2 linked regions of the Nothobranchius furzeri genome follow. The protein of the gene in region 1 purifies or fractionates together with the protein of each later gene. This does not show direct contact. Links are inferred from orthologs where the notes say so. Each region holds a gene or a part of one and is shown on either strand. Other genes may lie near its edges.

Region 1 (3,513 bases):
TTATTCATTATTGATTCATTTATTAAAATAAAATAAGCATTAAAGATGATTTCTGTGGTTCAGAAGTTATTTCCAGCCCAAAAGGAACACGATGGAGGTTTTATCTGTCTGATGAACATCTGGATTTAGGTCTGTGGGGTGTCATGGTCTGGTGTGGAGACGGGATGAAGAAAGAGGCAGGATGCACCCACGCCATGCAAAAGGAAAATAATGCAATGATTAAAGCTGAAGACAGAAAACCGCCACCTCACCTTAGAGTAGTCTGTCCATTAGCCGGAGGTTAAAGGAGAAACAGAAATAAGGAACAATCCAGAGTCTAAAAACACGTTTCCTCTGAGTTTAGGAGTCAACTAATCAAAAGGACTGAAGCAAGGCAGGTTAGGAAAGAAGAAGCGTGCAGCTGATGCTTCATCTGAACTCACCACTGAGTTCTCCGTCTTGATAGACTTGACCTGCAGACAGTCCTCCGCCCCTCTAGAGGTGCTGTTGGCCTCGGTCTTCCCATCCACGCCTCTCGATCCGTGCCTGGAGTCGTTCTCCCCGTTTCCTTTGGGCGGCTGCAGCCTCGGCGGAGCGTCGCCGCGTTGCTTCTTTGTGACGTGGGCTTCAGGTCCGTGGACGGTCTTAACGTGCTTCCTGAGAGAGCTGGGGTCAGTGTAGCGCTTCGTACAGCCCGGGATTTTACACACGTACGGTTTCTGCAACAGGGAATTGAAATGATTCACATCCAGTAGGAATCACCTTTACATGGAATTGTGTCCGTCAGTCTTTGAATCTGGTGTTTCTGTTTACCTAAACAAAAGGCTAAAGGTGTGTGTGTGTGTGTGTGTGTGTGTGTGTGTGTGTGTGATTTTATATAAGGAGCCCAGCAGGTTGCATCGAGTCACTGACTAGTGTCAGAGTCTGTACGGTAATCCTCATACTAAGCAAGCATGCAGCGACAGTGGAGAGGAAAACTCCCTTTTAACACAAAGAAACCTCCAATCCTGGCTCAGTATAAGCAGCCATCCTCCACGACTCACTGGGGTTGAGAAGACAGCGCACGCACGCATGCACGCACGCACACACACGATGGACTAGAAGTAGTACTTTATATTTTTAAAAAGTAAATGTCAGACAGACGATCTGATTGGTGGACATTAGCAGTTAGAATCCATTCGATCCTTCATGTCGATCCAATTCAATGTTAGTTTGATTTGATTTTTCATCGTGAAATAATGAGGCTAAAGTTGCGTTCTCTGTAAAACATCAAAGCCGTGCATGAACAAACCTCGTTCGAGTGTGTGCGGTTCTGGTGTTTGGCCCGATCGGAGGCGTTGGAGAAGGCCTTGTTGCAGCCTTCGTGCTCACACACATAAGGCTTCTCCCCGGTGTGGGACCTGAGGTGGGTTTTAAGGTTCTCCAGGCGAGAGTAAGCTTTGGAGCATCCCTCAAACTGTAGAAACAGAAACACAATCAGACTGGAGTAACTCCAGGCTACGTAGTCTGCAGCCGTGAAGCAGCAACACACACAAAAGAGCTTTTAGGTGTAATCAGTCCTGGATGCGTGCCCACCTGATGTGGCGTGCCACACAAAAGCAAAGCTCTGTTACACTTTAGCAGAATAAATAAATAAACAAATAAAAGCACTTTGTGGGAAGTATCTAAGTGTGAGGTGTGGTGGTGCGCTCTGCCTGCCGGGCTTTGTTGAGACAAAGACAACTCTGTGTTTTAGCGTTTGTGTTCTCTTGTACTCTACATGCTATAATTTGGTATTCCTTCTAAGCAGTCATTGTGAGAGTAATTGGCTTTGAAATTAAAAGAGAATCATATAAGAGCAGCTCAGAGAGAGGATAAAAACATCAGAAGACTTTATGAGATGTGGTTGAGGAGGAGATGGAGGGTTATGAGAAGATGCATGTGGGATTTGAACGGAGAATGTACAGCCTGAACTTAATAAGGACCCCTGGCCCCCTGCGCCTCTGCAGAGTGTAATTACACAGTCACGCTGTCAGTCAGCGTTTTAACGTTTCGCCTTCACAAGTGTTTTAATGCATTCACAAGAGCCAGCCAGTGAGCTTTGAAGCCACAAGCAAACAGGCACTAAGTCTAATCTTCAAGGAAACGCCTTGATTTATCAATGTGGACCAGATCACATGATGAAAACCTCTAACTAACGACATCTGGATCCATCCGTCTGAAAGCTGCACCTGGTCAAAGGTTCAGTCACACTGAAATGTCCTGGTGTTGTGGGCCAGATGTCTCCGGAACAGATTTTAATGAAACAAAACCTCAGATCTCCATAGACTGTTCTAGACTCGGCCTCTGCTGCAAACTCCCCCAGCAAAGCAAAGAAGGCTGAAACTCCGTTGGAAGTTCAGCTGGAACTTTTAGTTTGGAAGTAAAATATGAAGGATGCCAGAGGAAAAGGGACCAGCAGGCGTCCACCACGACAGGCCCTCCTAAACCCAAGCTCTTACTGTGCACTTGTGTGGCTTCTCCCCCGTGTGCCGCCTCATGTGGACCACCAGCATGTACTGGGCCTTGAAGGGCTTCTGCTCCCGGGAACACTCCTCCCAGCGACACACGAATTCCTTCTTCTCCCCGTGGATGTGGTCATTGTTGATGTGCTGCGTGGACAAATCAGATCTGGTCAATCATCAGCACCGGGAGCATGTGTTCACAACCAGAGCCGTAACTGTGAGAAGAACCTCGAGTGTGTTGACACGTGTGAGTTGGAACATTCTTGTGTTTTTCCCACAATCAGGTTCTCCCTCCGCTGCGCCGTCAGCAAGACGGGCGGCTCTATATGTTATCGGTGACAGTTTTAATGTCAATAGGAGAGCAAGGCAATAAAACAACTGTTTGTTCAGGCCGTGTGCGTTCGCCGTTACTTTTCTTCAGGAAGAGGAACTTCCTTACGAGGCGACTGAAAACAAATCAGCACCAGTCGCTTCCCAGGGAGAGGCTGGTACCAGCAGAAGTTTGGGAGGACTTGGAGACTGGAGTGAAAATGAGGAGAAACTTTGAATTTTCGCCGTACAGCCCGGCCAACGATTGGCCGGTTTCCTTTCAGCTCCGACTCGTCTCGGATGTGGGACTACAACAAATCACACTCATAAGGAATGTTTTAAAAATCAACATTGTCATCATTTTCTTGGGGAAATTTAGCATAAATATAAAAAAAGCTAGTTTTTACACAGAAGAGTGTATAAAAGGGAGTTTTCCTCTCCACTGTCGCTTTATGCTTGCTTAGTATGAGGGTTGCTGTATAGTCACTGACACTAGTCAGTGACTTGATGCAATTTGCTGGGTTCCTTATATAGGAAACCTTATTTCTGATTGGCTTAATGAACTGACCTGAATTGGAATGTTTATTATGTGAAGTGCCTTGAGACGACTCTTGTCGTGATTTGGCGCTTTATAAATAAACTTGAATTGAAATTGAATTGAATTGAATTGCATTTTCCCAGATTTTTCTACTTAATACTTGTGTTCTTCATGTTAAAAGACTTAAAGGTCGTCGGATGGATG
Region 2 (4,216 bases), on another chromosome or scaffold:
GAAACAGATGATATCAACTTGATGCTCATAACATCCATCGGAATCATCACAATCATAGGTCGGCCACGTCACAATATCAAAGCTGAGCTTTTCAGAGTGACGAGTCTGTACGTATATTTTCTGTTCTTAATCTATTGCCTGAAAGTTTCCCTACAGTTTTTACTCACGCCCTCAGTAATAGTTGGGTTCTCTGTAAACCTGAGAATCCTCCTGTTCCCAGGCCATAATGATCAAAATTCAAATTTTTTTTCTTTCACTGTGATCCACGACAGTTTTTAAAATTACTTCTGTTTTTGTACCAGAACAATATAGTTATTATATAGTTGAGCCACAGTGGAAACTTTGTAAAATATGTAAACTACATTAAAATGCACCAAAAATATAAATGTGAAGAAACGTCACATTAATACTGTGTTTTTTTCACAATACTGTCTACAGAACTTTGTAAAATAGATTAGCCTATACACAATAATGATTTAGGAAACAGATATAGATGTACATGAATATAGAAGTGATTTTATTATCACTGTTGTGACCCGGAATGTCATCTGTATGTTTATATGATGTTCATTTAATTTTTTGTATGTAACTGTCTTGATGTTATAAAATAAAACAACTAATAAAGAACAAATTATCATGCAGTTGTCTTCATTGAGTTCTGGACAATAATTAAGTAAAACCCCAAGCTTATTTATAGTTCCATGCTATATGGAGCAGATATTTAGGCGTTGTTGTTTAATGCAATTCAACAAATGCCCAGCTTTATGGTTGTGGTAGTTTTTTTAAATGGTGGTTTTGCCAAATGTATATCAGTGAGTGCAGCCGGCCTTCATGACACATTCACTTCAGTTTTATATTTGATTTAGTTATTTAAGTATTGTGATGATTTGTTGGTTACAAAGCACAAAGAAATGTGAAGAGAACAAGTTCTTAAAAAGACTACATGAACCCAAACAAAACCAGACATGCAATTGTTTGAGTTTACTATTTATAAGGAATGAGTCATAGTTTTAGAAAAAAACAGCCCATTAATGCTGTTCACAAAAGTTTTACTTCCTGGCATAACCTTGTGAAACATAGTTTTATATTAGTTTAGTTATATATTTCTTAAAATCTAAGCTGTAACATTAGTTCATTTATTTATTTATTTTAGTCTTTTGAAATTTCATCTCAGACGTTTCAATGGAAAACACTTTGCTGCGTATTTTAACACCATATGTTTTCAAAAATGAAACTCTAAAATTATGTTATCATCTGCCCCCTGAGAAACTTCTGAATTATGAGGACCCAACCCTGAACATATACCCGCCTTCTTACAACCACTCAGCCAATCACAGTCATGTTTAAATCCATATTTCATTGTCATTGGCTAACAACACCATTCACTCAATGACGTTTACACCGGCCCAACCAATAGTTGAACAATTGAATGCTCCCTTTTCTCTATTTTGTGTACCAGGACGAGCAACAGGCTCCAACAACGTTTTAGCACAGTAATCTATTTCTGGTTACACAATTCGTTTGTGAAGCATTCATGTAGGTGAACAAGTTAACTAAACGGATTATACGTTGTTTCTTTATAGAAAAAAGTGACTTGTTCGAGGCCCTGGCATGGATGAAGTACGGCCTACCAGTGGTGCCCCAGCCCACGGGCTGGTGCCGCTGTTTCCTCCGGGACTACAGGCTATCTATGGAGAATGTCGGCGACTTTACCCCGAGCAGGCCAACCCTCTGCAAGTTACTGCCATTGTTAAGTATTGGTATGTAACATGTTTTGTTTTTGCTGGTATAATTATGCCTGCGTGAAGTTTGTGAATGCGTTTATTTAGCTTTAGCTAAATGCTAGCCTTCAGTTAGCTTAGCCTACGTGCTAACGTAAACAGTTTTGCTAACTTTCTAAACGATCGTGTGGCCAAAAAAAACTGCTCACGCTATATGTGTCCCTTACAAAACACGATACAAGCACAGCAATATTCAAAAGACAACCTAATAAAATAATACGTATACAGAAAATTTGACGTTATAATTCTTAACTGATTTATTGTCAAATATTCAGTATCTTATAATTCTACAGTAATACTTTTAGCATGGTGTTTGAAGAATAAACCTATCTAGGATAATATGTAGATTTCACCTGAACTCTACATGAAGTATTACACTTTAATCCCCAGAATCTCCGGAAAGAGGAAAATTGGGGTGAGGCAACCTATAACGTTGTTTTTTCAGTATAAAACAAGAAAATATGAAATGCAATCTTCATTATCACATTAGACTGTTTTAAATAGGATTTGATATTTGCTCAGTAGTTGTGCTGAGGGTAGAGGTCTTATTCTTAACCCATTTATGATGGAAACTCATATTTAAGCAGTTTTTAAAATGTTGCCAGGGACATTTAATAGATCAAAGAAAGCAAATATTTTATATTTCCATTCCTAGAAGTACAATTCAATTCAAAAATACTTTATTAATCCCAGAGGGAAATTGATTGCTGTAGTAGCTCAGAATAATAATAATAATCAAGTCATCAAAGAGTTGTTGTATATTACAATGGCTGTTGGCAGGAAGGATCTCCACTAGTGATTACTGTTGCAGAGAAACTGAAGAAGCCTCTGACTGAAGACACTCTTCCGTTGTCGGACAGTCTTGTGAAGAGAATGCTCAGGGTTGTCCATAATTTTCTTGATTCTCTGGAGAATCCTTCTTTGCATTATCTCCTCCAGTGGTTCCGAAACTGCAGAAACTCTGGCTGAGTCGTTGAAAGGACCTCCATCTTGTTGGCCAGTGATCTCACATTGCCCATTATGATCAATGGAAGAGATGGTTTGAATTTCCTCTTTCTCCGTTTCCGTTTTGCTCCCGCTCTGCACCCACGCTTCTTGCGTTTTAGCTCATTTGGGATTTGTGGCTTCAGTTGAGGTATTATTTCAGCCTTTCCAATGTTAATCAGCTGCTCCCGATTGTAAACTAGCTTGTTGCCATGGTTACACATCATAACAAATGCTCAAAAAGGGAAAAAAGCTATAAAAAAACGAAGGCTTGAATAATATTATATGTTGTGATGATGATGTTATGATTTAAACAATATTTTCAATAAACTTTAGATGCTTCAGCTAACATCTGTTATCCAGTATCAAACAAGTCAAGCAAGAACTAAATATGAAAACAAAAACTAGCAAGTAATTTTACGCCCCACATGCTAACTAAGTGCTCTATGACTGATGGTTTGCATTTTGCTCTTTTAACAGGCTTGGTGGACCAGACCCTTTAGACTACATCAGCATGTACAGGAACATGGGCTGTCCAGCCCAGGACGTCCAGGAGCATTGGCACTATGTTAGCTTTGGCCTGAGTGACCTTTATGGAGACAATCGTGTTCACGAGTGAGTGAAGGAAAAGTTTTATTATTTTCTAATATGACAAGCCACTTTGTGTAAAAAATATGTAAATTTCTAGTTAATTTAGTTAAAAAGTGGGGTGTCACCAGTCAGTCGGATAAATATTTGCACTATACACCTTTTACAGTGAAACCTTCAACACCACATGCAAAAACCACTGATCTTACTGGCTCATGCTCAGTGTTGCCTCACCGTTCTTGCAGATTTACTGGAGCAGATGGACCCAGTGGGTTTGGGTTTGAGCTCACTTTTAGACTCAAAAGAGAGGCGGGAGAGACGGCACCTCCAACGTGGCCAGCTGAACTCATGCAAGGCTTGGCTCGCTATGTGTTCCAGTCAGGTAAGATTAAATGGTCATCTTTTAGCAAATCTGCAGTGATTGACCTTGGAGAAAAAAATTTGTTTTTTTATTTATTTATTTTTGCCTTTTTTCTTTTTGATTAACTTTTAATGTTCAAGAATTGTTTTTATTCAGTCATGCATCCTCTAGGATAACTGAGAGTGTTGATCGATTCAGCCACAGTTTATAGATCATCTACTGCATGTTTGTGTTTTGCCACCACAGCAGGATGTTGTAAATTTAAAGGTCATGCTTTTTGTGCATGCTGCTTGCAGTTACAGTATTTTGACATCATAGCTGAATAGAAGTCAAGGCAGTTTCATTTGTATAGCACATTTCATGCACAGTGGCAATTTAATGTGCATTCCAATAGGGAGAACATTAAAATTTAAGATTTTTATTTAAAAGTTTCTAGAGTTGGGGCACATTTGAGGTCACAAAGAAGCTGGGTCCATCTGTTTGCAGCATAGTAGCTAAAAGC

The links.
Region 2: the proteins of gli2a (region 1) and sufu purify together in Homo sapiens (affinity purification with mass spectrometry; 3 studies listed by BioGRID and IntAct, with this or other methods). This does not show direct contact. The link is inferred for Nothobranchius furzeri from reciprocal best matches to the Homo sapiens genes GLI2 and SUFU.

The regions. Positions count from the first base shown.
Region 1 is NC_091747.1:25,493,806-25,497,318, reverse strand, and holds part of gli2a (zinc finger protein GLI2a), read right to left. Parts: intron 2,610-3,513; coding exon 2,460-2,609; intron 1,436-2,459; coding exon 1,271-1,435; intron 699-1,270; coding exon 423-698; intron 1-422. UniProt on the Homo sapiens protein: Functions as a transcription regulator in the hedgehog (Hh) pathway. Functions as a transcriptional activator. May also function as transcriptional repressor. Requires STK36 for full transcriptional activator activity.
Region 2 is NC_091752.1:22,197,734-22,201,949, reverse strand, and holds the start of sufu (suppressor of fused homolog), read left to right. Parts: upstream 1-1,412; 5' UTR 1,413-1,493; exon of another isoform or gene 1,494-1,583; 5' UTR 1,584-1,611; coding exon 1,612-1,760; intron 1,761-2,720; exon of another isoform or gene 2,721-2,820; intron 2,821-3,245; coding exon 3,246-3,380; intron 3,381-3,598; coding exon 3,599-3,735; intron 3,736-4,216. UniProt on the Homo sapiens protein: Negative regulator in the hedgehog/smoothened signaling pathway. Down-regulates GLI1-mediated transactivation of target genes. Down-regulates GLI2-mediated transactivation of target genes. Part of a corepressor complex that acts on DNA-bound GLI1.